2 linked regions of the Macaca mulatta genome follow. The protein of the gene in region 1 purifies or fractionates together with the protein of each later gene. This does not show direct contact. Links are inferred from orthologs where the notes say so. Each region holds a gene or a part of one and is shown in the gene's direction. Other genes may lie near its edges.

Region 1 (4,360 bases):
GAGACAAAAGGCTGGGCGCGGTGACATGTGCCTGTAATCCCAGCACTTCGGGAGGCTGAGGTGGGACGATTACGAGGTCAGGAGTTCGAGATCAGCCTAGCTAACATAGTGAAACCCTGTCTTTACCAAAAATACAAAAATTAGCTGGATGCAGTGGCATGTACCTGTAATCCCAGCTACACGGGAGGCTGAAGCAGGAGAATTGCTTGAACCCGGGAGGCGGAAGTTGCAGTGAGCCGAGATCGCATCACTGCACTCCAACGTGGCGACAGAGCAAAACTCCGTCTCAAAAAAAAAAAAGAAAAAGAAAAGAAAATAGACAAAAATCCCTGCCTTCCTGGGGCTTGCCTTCTAGTAGGTAGACAGACAATAAACAAGATAAAAAGTAAAATATATATGAAATAAAGCAGGAAAGGAGGACATGAAGTATGTGTGGAAAAGTAACATTTTAGATGATAGCCAGAGAAGGTATTTTAGATACAGTAGCCAGAGAAGGAAGTGGGAGACTGAGCCATGAAGATATATGGGAGAAATGCACCCCAGGAGGCCTGTGTAACCGGGACAGGAATTAAGGAGTTGGAGACTGAGTGATACATCAGGATCAGGGAGGTTAAGTGAAGTCAGATTGTACAGGGCCTTGTTGGTCAAAGTAAGGACTTTGGCTTTTACTAACAGTGAGATGGGAAGCTGTTGGAGGATTTGAGAACCTAAGTGTCATGATCTGACTTGTCATAAGAGGATCCCTGGGACTGCTGTGCTGTGAATACCAATGAGGTGGCTACTACAATAACCTAGGCAAGAGATGATGGCTCCCAAAGACACGGGAAGGAGCAGCTCTGGGGTTGGAAAATAAAATTTGGGGTCTGACAGCTACATTGGAGAAGCCTATTAGCCATTCGAGTGAACTGTGGAAGAGGCAACTGGATGTGTACAGGTCCGGAGTCTCAGGGAAAATCAGAGCTGGGAGCCGGCACTTGGAACTCAACAAGTAGAATCTATTATTAGTAATACGGAACCTCAGCTGTACTACTACTTACTAGCAGCGAACTGTTGAGTTAACCATTTCTAGGTTCTGGGCCTCAGTTTCCCTGTAAATGAAATGGCGAAAACACTCCCACATAACGGAACCTTGAGAACGAAATGAAAAGTATCAAGGGCTGACCGTGAGGAAGGTGAGAGTCCTGAGCCAAAACCGTACTAGCCTCTCCGGGAGGGGGTGTCACTGCTGCGGAATCAGCGACAGGTTTCCGAATCCACACCACACGCTGGGGGTACCAGAGGTAGCAAAGCAAAATAAGCGCCAGGTACCGCACGGCAGCGCCCAAACCTCGCGAGATTTGTTGGCCGGACCAAGTACCACTCCCCCAATCTCGCGATATTTAGGCGCCTGAGCGGCTCTCCACCGGCGAGGGTTTGCGGGGAAGATGGCGTATCCCGCGCCGGCCACAGTGGAGGCCGCAGACGGCGGAGGGGCCGGGCGTTACAACAGCTCGGAGGAGCTAGAGGGCCAGGAGCCGGATGGGGTGCGCTTTGACCGCGAGAGGGCGCGCCGCCTGTGGGAAGCCGTGTCCGGTGCCCAGCCGGTGGGTAGGGAGGAAGGTGAGTCGGGGGCTTTGGAGGCAGGAAGCCCCTCACCCGCCTGCGCGGCTCGCGGGGAGCTGCGGAAGCGCCTGCGGTCACACCCCCCTGGCCCGCCTCCTTGCGTGCTGCGCTCCGGGACCCCCAGACTTGTGCTCCCCATTCAGGCGCGGGCACCCCAAGAATCGGGCCCCCAGCGCGCTGAGGGTGATCACGGCCGCTCACGCTCAGGCCCAGAGCTTTTCCCCTCCTCCTTCATCAGTCACTACAGCGCAGTTTTTCCCGAATTCGAAGATCGTCATCCCTATGCTTGTCGGAGACCCACAGTCTTTGCCATCCCCGTAATTCAGGCCGAGTGCCCCTCGCCACTCCTTGACTCCTCATCGTCCCAATCTCCAGATTTCCTCGTAGAGCCTCTTGCCTCCCTTCTGTCAGGCCTCACACTTCCGAGGGCTCTGGAAGGCCTTCTCCTTACCCCCGGGTTCCTCCTGGTCTTGGTGACTGAGCCGTGGCTTACCCGTTTTTAGCTCTCTGGCTTCTACTTGCTGGGTTCCTTATTCTAAGGTGGGGACAAGGAGACTGAGAAACTGGTCTGGGTTCGCTTTGACTCCAGCTTCTTTGTGTTCTACACTTGACCCAAAGTTGCTGAGAACAGTATAAGCAAAGCCACGTCAGGGGTCACTTCTGGGCCGAAGTGTGCCAGCTTGCTGCGCACTTGACCTGAGACTGGGTAAGATGGGATGAAAGAAAGAGAAGGATGGGAAAGAGCTGTTCTGACCTTCTTGTGTGACTCCCTTCACCGTCCTTTACAGAGCCAGCTGCTTAATGCTAACCCAAGTGTCCAAGAACTCTATCTGGGCTTCTCTGCTAACCCTGTCAGGTATCTGGAGGGAAATCAGATTTCTCCAGTGATTTGTTTGCTTGCTGAGCAGACTTGTCATGGAAAGTTTAATATGCTATTTGTCAACTGACTGCCCTGGATAAAATTGAAATTTGGACCATATCTAAGGAACATATGTTTAAATTAGGGGTGATACACAGACCTATACCCTGGTATATAATTCTCCAATTTAAAAACAAGTCTAGCCTGTCTCCTAAGTTTATATATATATATATTAAAAAGAAAGGCAGGGCCCCAGAAATGGTATGTGTGTGTATGTGTATATGTGTGTGTATATTTACATATATGTGTATATATAAATATATACACACATACCATTTCTGGGACCCTCTCTCCTTTTTCTTTTTCCTTTTTTTTTTTTTGAGAGAGTCTCCCTCTGTCACCCAGGTTGGAGTGCAGTGGCACAATCCCACCGCAACCTCTGCCTCCCAGGTTCAAGCAGTTCTATGCTGCCCCAGCCCCCGGAGTAGCTGGGATTACAGGTGACCACCATCATGCTCAGCTGATTTTTGTATTTTTAGTAGAGATGGGGTTTGACCATGTTGGCCAGGCTGTTCTCGAACTCCTGACCTCAAGTGATCTGCCTTCCTTGACCTCCCAAAGTGCTGGGATCACAGGCATGAGCCACCACACCCGGCTCTCCTACTTTCAAACTTGTTTGGTAGTTTCCTTGCTCTACCCCAATTTTCCTTTCATTAATTTGACAAACATTCACAGATGTCTGCTCTCGACCCAGAATTGGTTGAGCTTCAGAGCTGGAGTATCAGAGAAAGATATTGTCCTTTCCCTGGAAAGGCTTGCAGTCTAGTCCAGGAAGCAGACACTAAAACAGTTCCAGTGTAATGTAAAGGATGCAGTGCTGAGGAATGTTTTAAGAGTTGGAGGTGCACAAAAGGTGACCTTTGCCCTAGATCTTGAAGCAGAAAACCACTGTGCTCTAAAAAGTGAACTGTCTGCTATGTGTATGTGAGTGTACAGTGGCACTGTTACGACCCATTTCATTTCCCTGTTCTCCTCACTTCTCGCACATTTATATGAAATCTAAGTAGACACCTGCAACATTAAGTTCTACTCACTCTTTTTCTTCTCTTAGCACCTTCATTGAGTTACAGTTTATATACCATACAAGTCGCCCATTGTAAGCATATCGCCAATGATTGTTAGCCAATGTACAGTTGTATAGCCATTACCACAGTCCAGTTTTAGAACATTTCCATCACCCCAATTAGTTCCTTTGAGCTTACTTATATTAAATCCCCACTCCCACCTCCTGCCCTAGGCAACCAGTGATCTGTTTTCTGTCTTGGGTAGTCTTTTGAGTTTGGCTTCTCTCGGCATGTTTTTGAAGGTCAGCCAAGTCATGGTGTGTATTAGTACTTCATTTTTATTGCTAAATAGAATTCCATTGAATGAATATAACACATTCTATTAATCTGTTCATTATTTCTAGACATTTGGATTGTTTCCAGTTTGGAGTTTTTGTGAATAGTGCTGCTGCGAACATTCATGCCCAAGTTTTTGTGTGAACATACGTTTCATTTCTTGAGTATATCCCTAAGAATGGAATTGCTGGGTCATATCGTAACTCTAACATTTTGAAGAACTGCCAAACTTTTCCAAAATGGCTTCACCTTTTATATTTCTGCCTTCAATGTATGAGGGTTTTGCTTTTTCTATAACCTTGACAACACTTGTCTTTTTTGATTATAGGCATTCTAGTGGGCATGTAGTGATATCTCATTGTGGTTTCCTAAAGACTGATAATACTGAGCACCTTTTCATGGGCTAACTACCCATTTGTAGATCTTTGGTGAAATATCTATTGATATCATTTGCCTATTTTGTAATTGGGCTGTTTGTCTTCTACTGAGTTGTAAGAGT
Region 2 (4,383 bases), on another chromosome or scaffold:
TAACACAAATATTACTTCTACACTATTCCCTCCCCTTCACCCCTATCAGCCCTCTTTCTAACACTTTTGAAGCTCCTAATGAATAGTAGCCCCCTGAAGCTGCTAGGTCAAACTGCCTGGACTTGAAGACGGGCCTTTCACTTATTAGTGATTGAGTTACTTAAAATAAGGATGATAAAAACCTGCTTCATGAGGTGTACTCTTCACTTTATAACTTTAACCTGTTGCTATTTGTTCTATTTTAGGGATTTATCATTATTTTTTTGAGGAAATTAAAAGAACAGAGATAAAATCCCTGTCATTTATAAAACGCACAGGATAAAAGCAAAAAACCTTTGCTCTGTCGTTTGGGTTCTTCTGTCCATATGTAACAATCTGTTTCATACATGGATCTCATATATGAAAACCTAAATTTTTGTATAAGATACACGAGAGTGGATTTATCAGACAAACGTGTATTTCACTAATGCAAGGAATTTAACCTATCAAAGACTTTCCCTATTTGCTGCAGAAAATTTTAGAAATGCAAGCAATAAAATCAATAATTTTAAAAAATCTTGTCTTTGGCATGTCAAAGAACTTTTATACTTCTAAAAGTGTAGTTATTTGTAGTCAGTGATGAACCTCTCTACACACCTTAGCCCTATGCAATGTTGGGGGTAGAAAACGAGTAGAGATTTTGAGAAATCTTAGGCTAGTTGAAATACTTCTGAAACGTCAGAATGTTGAATTACCATCCCTCTGACTTAGAAAGAGAAATACCAACACTCGGGAAGATTACCATCATAAACAACTTTGGAAAGTTTAATTTGGTCATTGTTTTTAAAATTAGAAATAATGTAAATAAAGTACTGCAACAAAGCATTCTCACAATAAATAGTAGCTATTCCTGTCACTTCTTACAGCGGAGGCCCAATATACATTGTATTCTCATATTTGTGCTTCCTCCCAACATCTAGCGCATATTTGGCCAACATATAAATTTTTATCGAAAGAATGAATGACATCAATGACAGGCTGGTCGCACTCCGGTGGTCCAGGTTAGCCCGTGAGGCCACGAGGAAACTGCGGATAACACAGTGTCCAATTTGCCTATACCGCCTGCTAAACTACAAGTCCCAGTACGCAAACGCCATGGTTGCAGTGCATACTGGGAGAAAGTCTCCAGCTCTTCATTGGCCACGTAGGAGAACCTCCGGTGTGTGTAAAAGCGCGGGCTTTAACGCACGTACGCACGGAAAACTGCGCAGATCTCCTCGTCTGAGTTCCGCGGAACTCATTTTGAGTGTAGGCATTTTAGCCGGTAGGATTTAAGAACAGTTTCATTTCCGGCGTCACCGGAAGCAGCTTGAAAATGGCGTCTCCCTCTTTAGAGCGGCGAGAAAAAGGGGCTGGAAAAAGTGAATTTCGTAACCAGAAGACAAAGCCGGAGAACCAAGGTGATGTTATGTGGGAACCGAAGGCTGGGGTTTGTGGACGTTGAGTTGCGATGTTTTTTTTTCTCATTGCTTGTGGACTTATAAAACCACCTGGAGCCTGTACTGTGTATTTAAGTACCACAATAATCGCTGATAAGATTATTGGCTGGGCCCACAGGAACGACTGGCCGATATGGTGCCACCCACGTGTTCCTAATTCATTCCTTTTGCTAAAGGGTCCCCAAAGCGAAGCCGTTGCTGAATACGTCTTCTGTAAAAGATTATTAAGAAAATGCCGAGGGCGCCGCGGAACCCTGTAGCCTGCAGGGGACTGAAAGTCATTGACGGAATGAGGAATAGGGTGAGGTGGGAGCAGGTAGTTCTGATATACAGGAGTCGACCCTGATAATGGGGTGAGATATGGGGAAAGGAGCTATCTGACATGTCCTTAGCTCTAGTTTGTCAGTAAAGACAGTTTGAAAGATTTATCAATTCCTGTTTGTCAGATTGCTAAAATACTAGACGACACAGCCCTTGCTCTTTAGGTTGTGCTACCTTTTAATTGTTAACTCCTGCGTTGTGGTCTGGTTTTACCCGTTTTCTTCAGTATGAATGACAGAGAAGTCAGAAATAGCCTGGGGATCTGTTCAACCAGGCTCATAGAAGTGTTAAAAACATTGAACTCTCAATTTAGATGCATTGGGAAAGTTTTCAAGGTTTCTTCGTTGTTGCTCATTAAATGATTATGTAACGTACATAGCAGAGGATACAACTTATATATAGTTTAATAAAACCATGCAAGAAACTAGCATTCAGACTGTTAAGTAAAATAGAGCATTACCATACCCCTCAAACCCTTACGTGCACTTCTCAGATCATATTCTCTTTTCCTGTCACAAGTAACCACTCTGAATTGCGTTGCATTCTGTTCCTCTTCTTGTAGTCACGAAGTGGCTTAATTTTGCCTCTTTTTAAATTTTATATACATGAAAGTGGACCGTATGCATTTTTCTGTGTCTTAGATTTAGCTTTGTTTTTCAAACAGGGTGATACTTGTAGGTGTAGTTTTAGTCTTTTCACTGTTATGTGGTGTTTCCTTGTATGACTATACCCCAGTTTTTTTTTTCATTTTACAATCGGTGGACATTTGGATTGTTCCTATTGCTTGCAATTATAAACAGTACTGCTAAAACATCTTTGTACATGTCTTCTGGTTAACATGTTCAAGGGTTTCTTTAGGTTGTGAACATAGGATTGGAATTACTGAAGTGTAGGGTGTGTGTAAGTAATGCTAACTTTTTTCCAAAGTGCTAGTGTCAGTTTTGTTCCCACTAGCAGTGGACGAAAGTTCTCATTGCCTTACATTCATATGAATACATGATGTTACCTGAATTTTGAATTTCTGTCATTTTGGTAGGTATGAAATGGGATCTGGTTGCAGTTTTAATTTGCATTTTCTGATCACCTATGAGGTTGCGTATCTTTTCACATGTTTTGGGCCTTCCTTAATTGTGAAACTCCTGTGTATTTCTTTTGTCAATTTTTTGTCTGAGATTGTAGTGGGAACTTTGAAAAAATTGATCCGTAGCCTTTGAAGTGTTTAAATTGGATAGGGACTTGGTCAGGGAAGCATTGCAAGTAACCAGTTGCAGTGACTCATGCCTGTAATCCCAGCACTTTGGCAAGCTGAGGAGGGGGGATTGCTTGAGCCCAGGAGATATGCCTGGGCAACATGGCAAAACCCTTTCCCTACCAAAAAAAAAAAAAAAACAAAAAAAACAAAAATTAGCCAGACATTATGGCACATGCCTGTAGTACCAGCTGCTTGCGAGGCTGAGGCAAGAGAATAGATCGCTTGAGTCCAGGAGGTCCAGGCTGCAGTGACCTGGGATGGAGCCACTGCACTCCAGCCTGGGTGACAGAGCGAGGCCCTGTCTTAAAAAAAAAAAATGTATATAATACACAAGTAATCACTTTTGTGGAATTTGTGTTCTTTAAAGGACATTGGAGAATCCTTAGACTAGCCAATTGTCTGTGATTTGAACCAGAAATAGAAATAGAAAAGTGGATGTGAGTATAAGCAGAAAGTTTACCTGAGGTTGATAACATAGGGTAATGCCCTGCTTTTCAAATTTTACTGTGCTTAAGAGTCTCCTGTTGAGCATGGTAAAACACAGACTTCTGTCCCTTGTCGAAGAGATTCTGATTCAGTAGGTCTGGAGTGGGGCCCAATAATTGCATTTCTGACAGACTTAACAGTTTATACTGATACTGAAAGTCTATGGAGCATACCTTTTAGTATAACTGAATTAGAGTATAGCTGTTGAATTTAAGGAGTTCTTAAAATTCAGTACCACGTTTTTTAAATACATGATTCAGAAGATAATTTATGGCCCTTAGGCATTTTCTTGTAGTGAAAGGAGTCCCAGGCTGAGTCAGCTTTGTGTTCCCTTAGGCAAGTCACTTAGCCTTTTTAGACTATCTTCTATAAAATGAGAATAATACAGATTCTACCTTTTATAGTTATGAAACGCATGTGGAAATAAGGCACTCAAAACGCTTAGGAAAATCTAGAATTACTCGAGATTATTAACTGAAAGATAAACTAGAATCCTCTTTCAGAAGTTGTATACAAACACATACACCCAGGTTCCATACACTCCAGGAAAGTCAGAAAGGTTAATTGTATTTAAAATACTAAACAAAATGGCATTGAGATCTTCAGTTTTATGGTAGTGTAATGCAGTACACGTTTCTGGAGTGCTCACTGTCTGTCTGGCATATGCCAATTGGCATGAAGAGGGATTCTGCTCTTAAGGAACTTTGTCTTATGAGGCAACTGAAGTGTGTACAGATAATTTTAATACAGTGAATTGATAATGACAGAGGAATGTTCTTCGACTCTTGAATAATATAAAAAGCGGGGAAAAGGAAATGCAAGAAGTACTGGAAGGCTTATGAATAT

Evidence for each region.
Region 2: the proteins of ZNF346 (region 1) and KRR1 purify together in Homo sapiens (affinity purification with mass spectrometry; 3 studies listed by BioGRID and IntAct, with this or other methods). This does not show direct contact. The link is inferred for Macaca mulatta from reciprocal best matches to the Homo sapiens genes ZNF346 and KRR1.

Annotation. Positions count from the first base shown.
Region 1 is NC_133411.1:185,971,548-185,975,907, forward strand, and holds the start of ZNF346 (zinc finger protein 346), read left to right. Parts: upstream 1-1,381; 5' UTR 1,382-1,424; coding exon 1,425-1,599; intron 1,600-4,360.
Region 2 is NC_133416.1:82,682,300-82,686,682, reverse strand, and holds the start of KRR1 (KRR1 small subunit processome component homolog), read left to right. Parts: upstream 1-1,319; 5' UTR 1,320-1,354; coding exon 1,355-1,439; intron 1,440-4,383. UniProt on the Homo sapiens protein: Part of the small subunit (SSU) processome, first precursor of the small eukaryotic ribosomal subunit.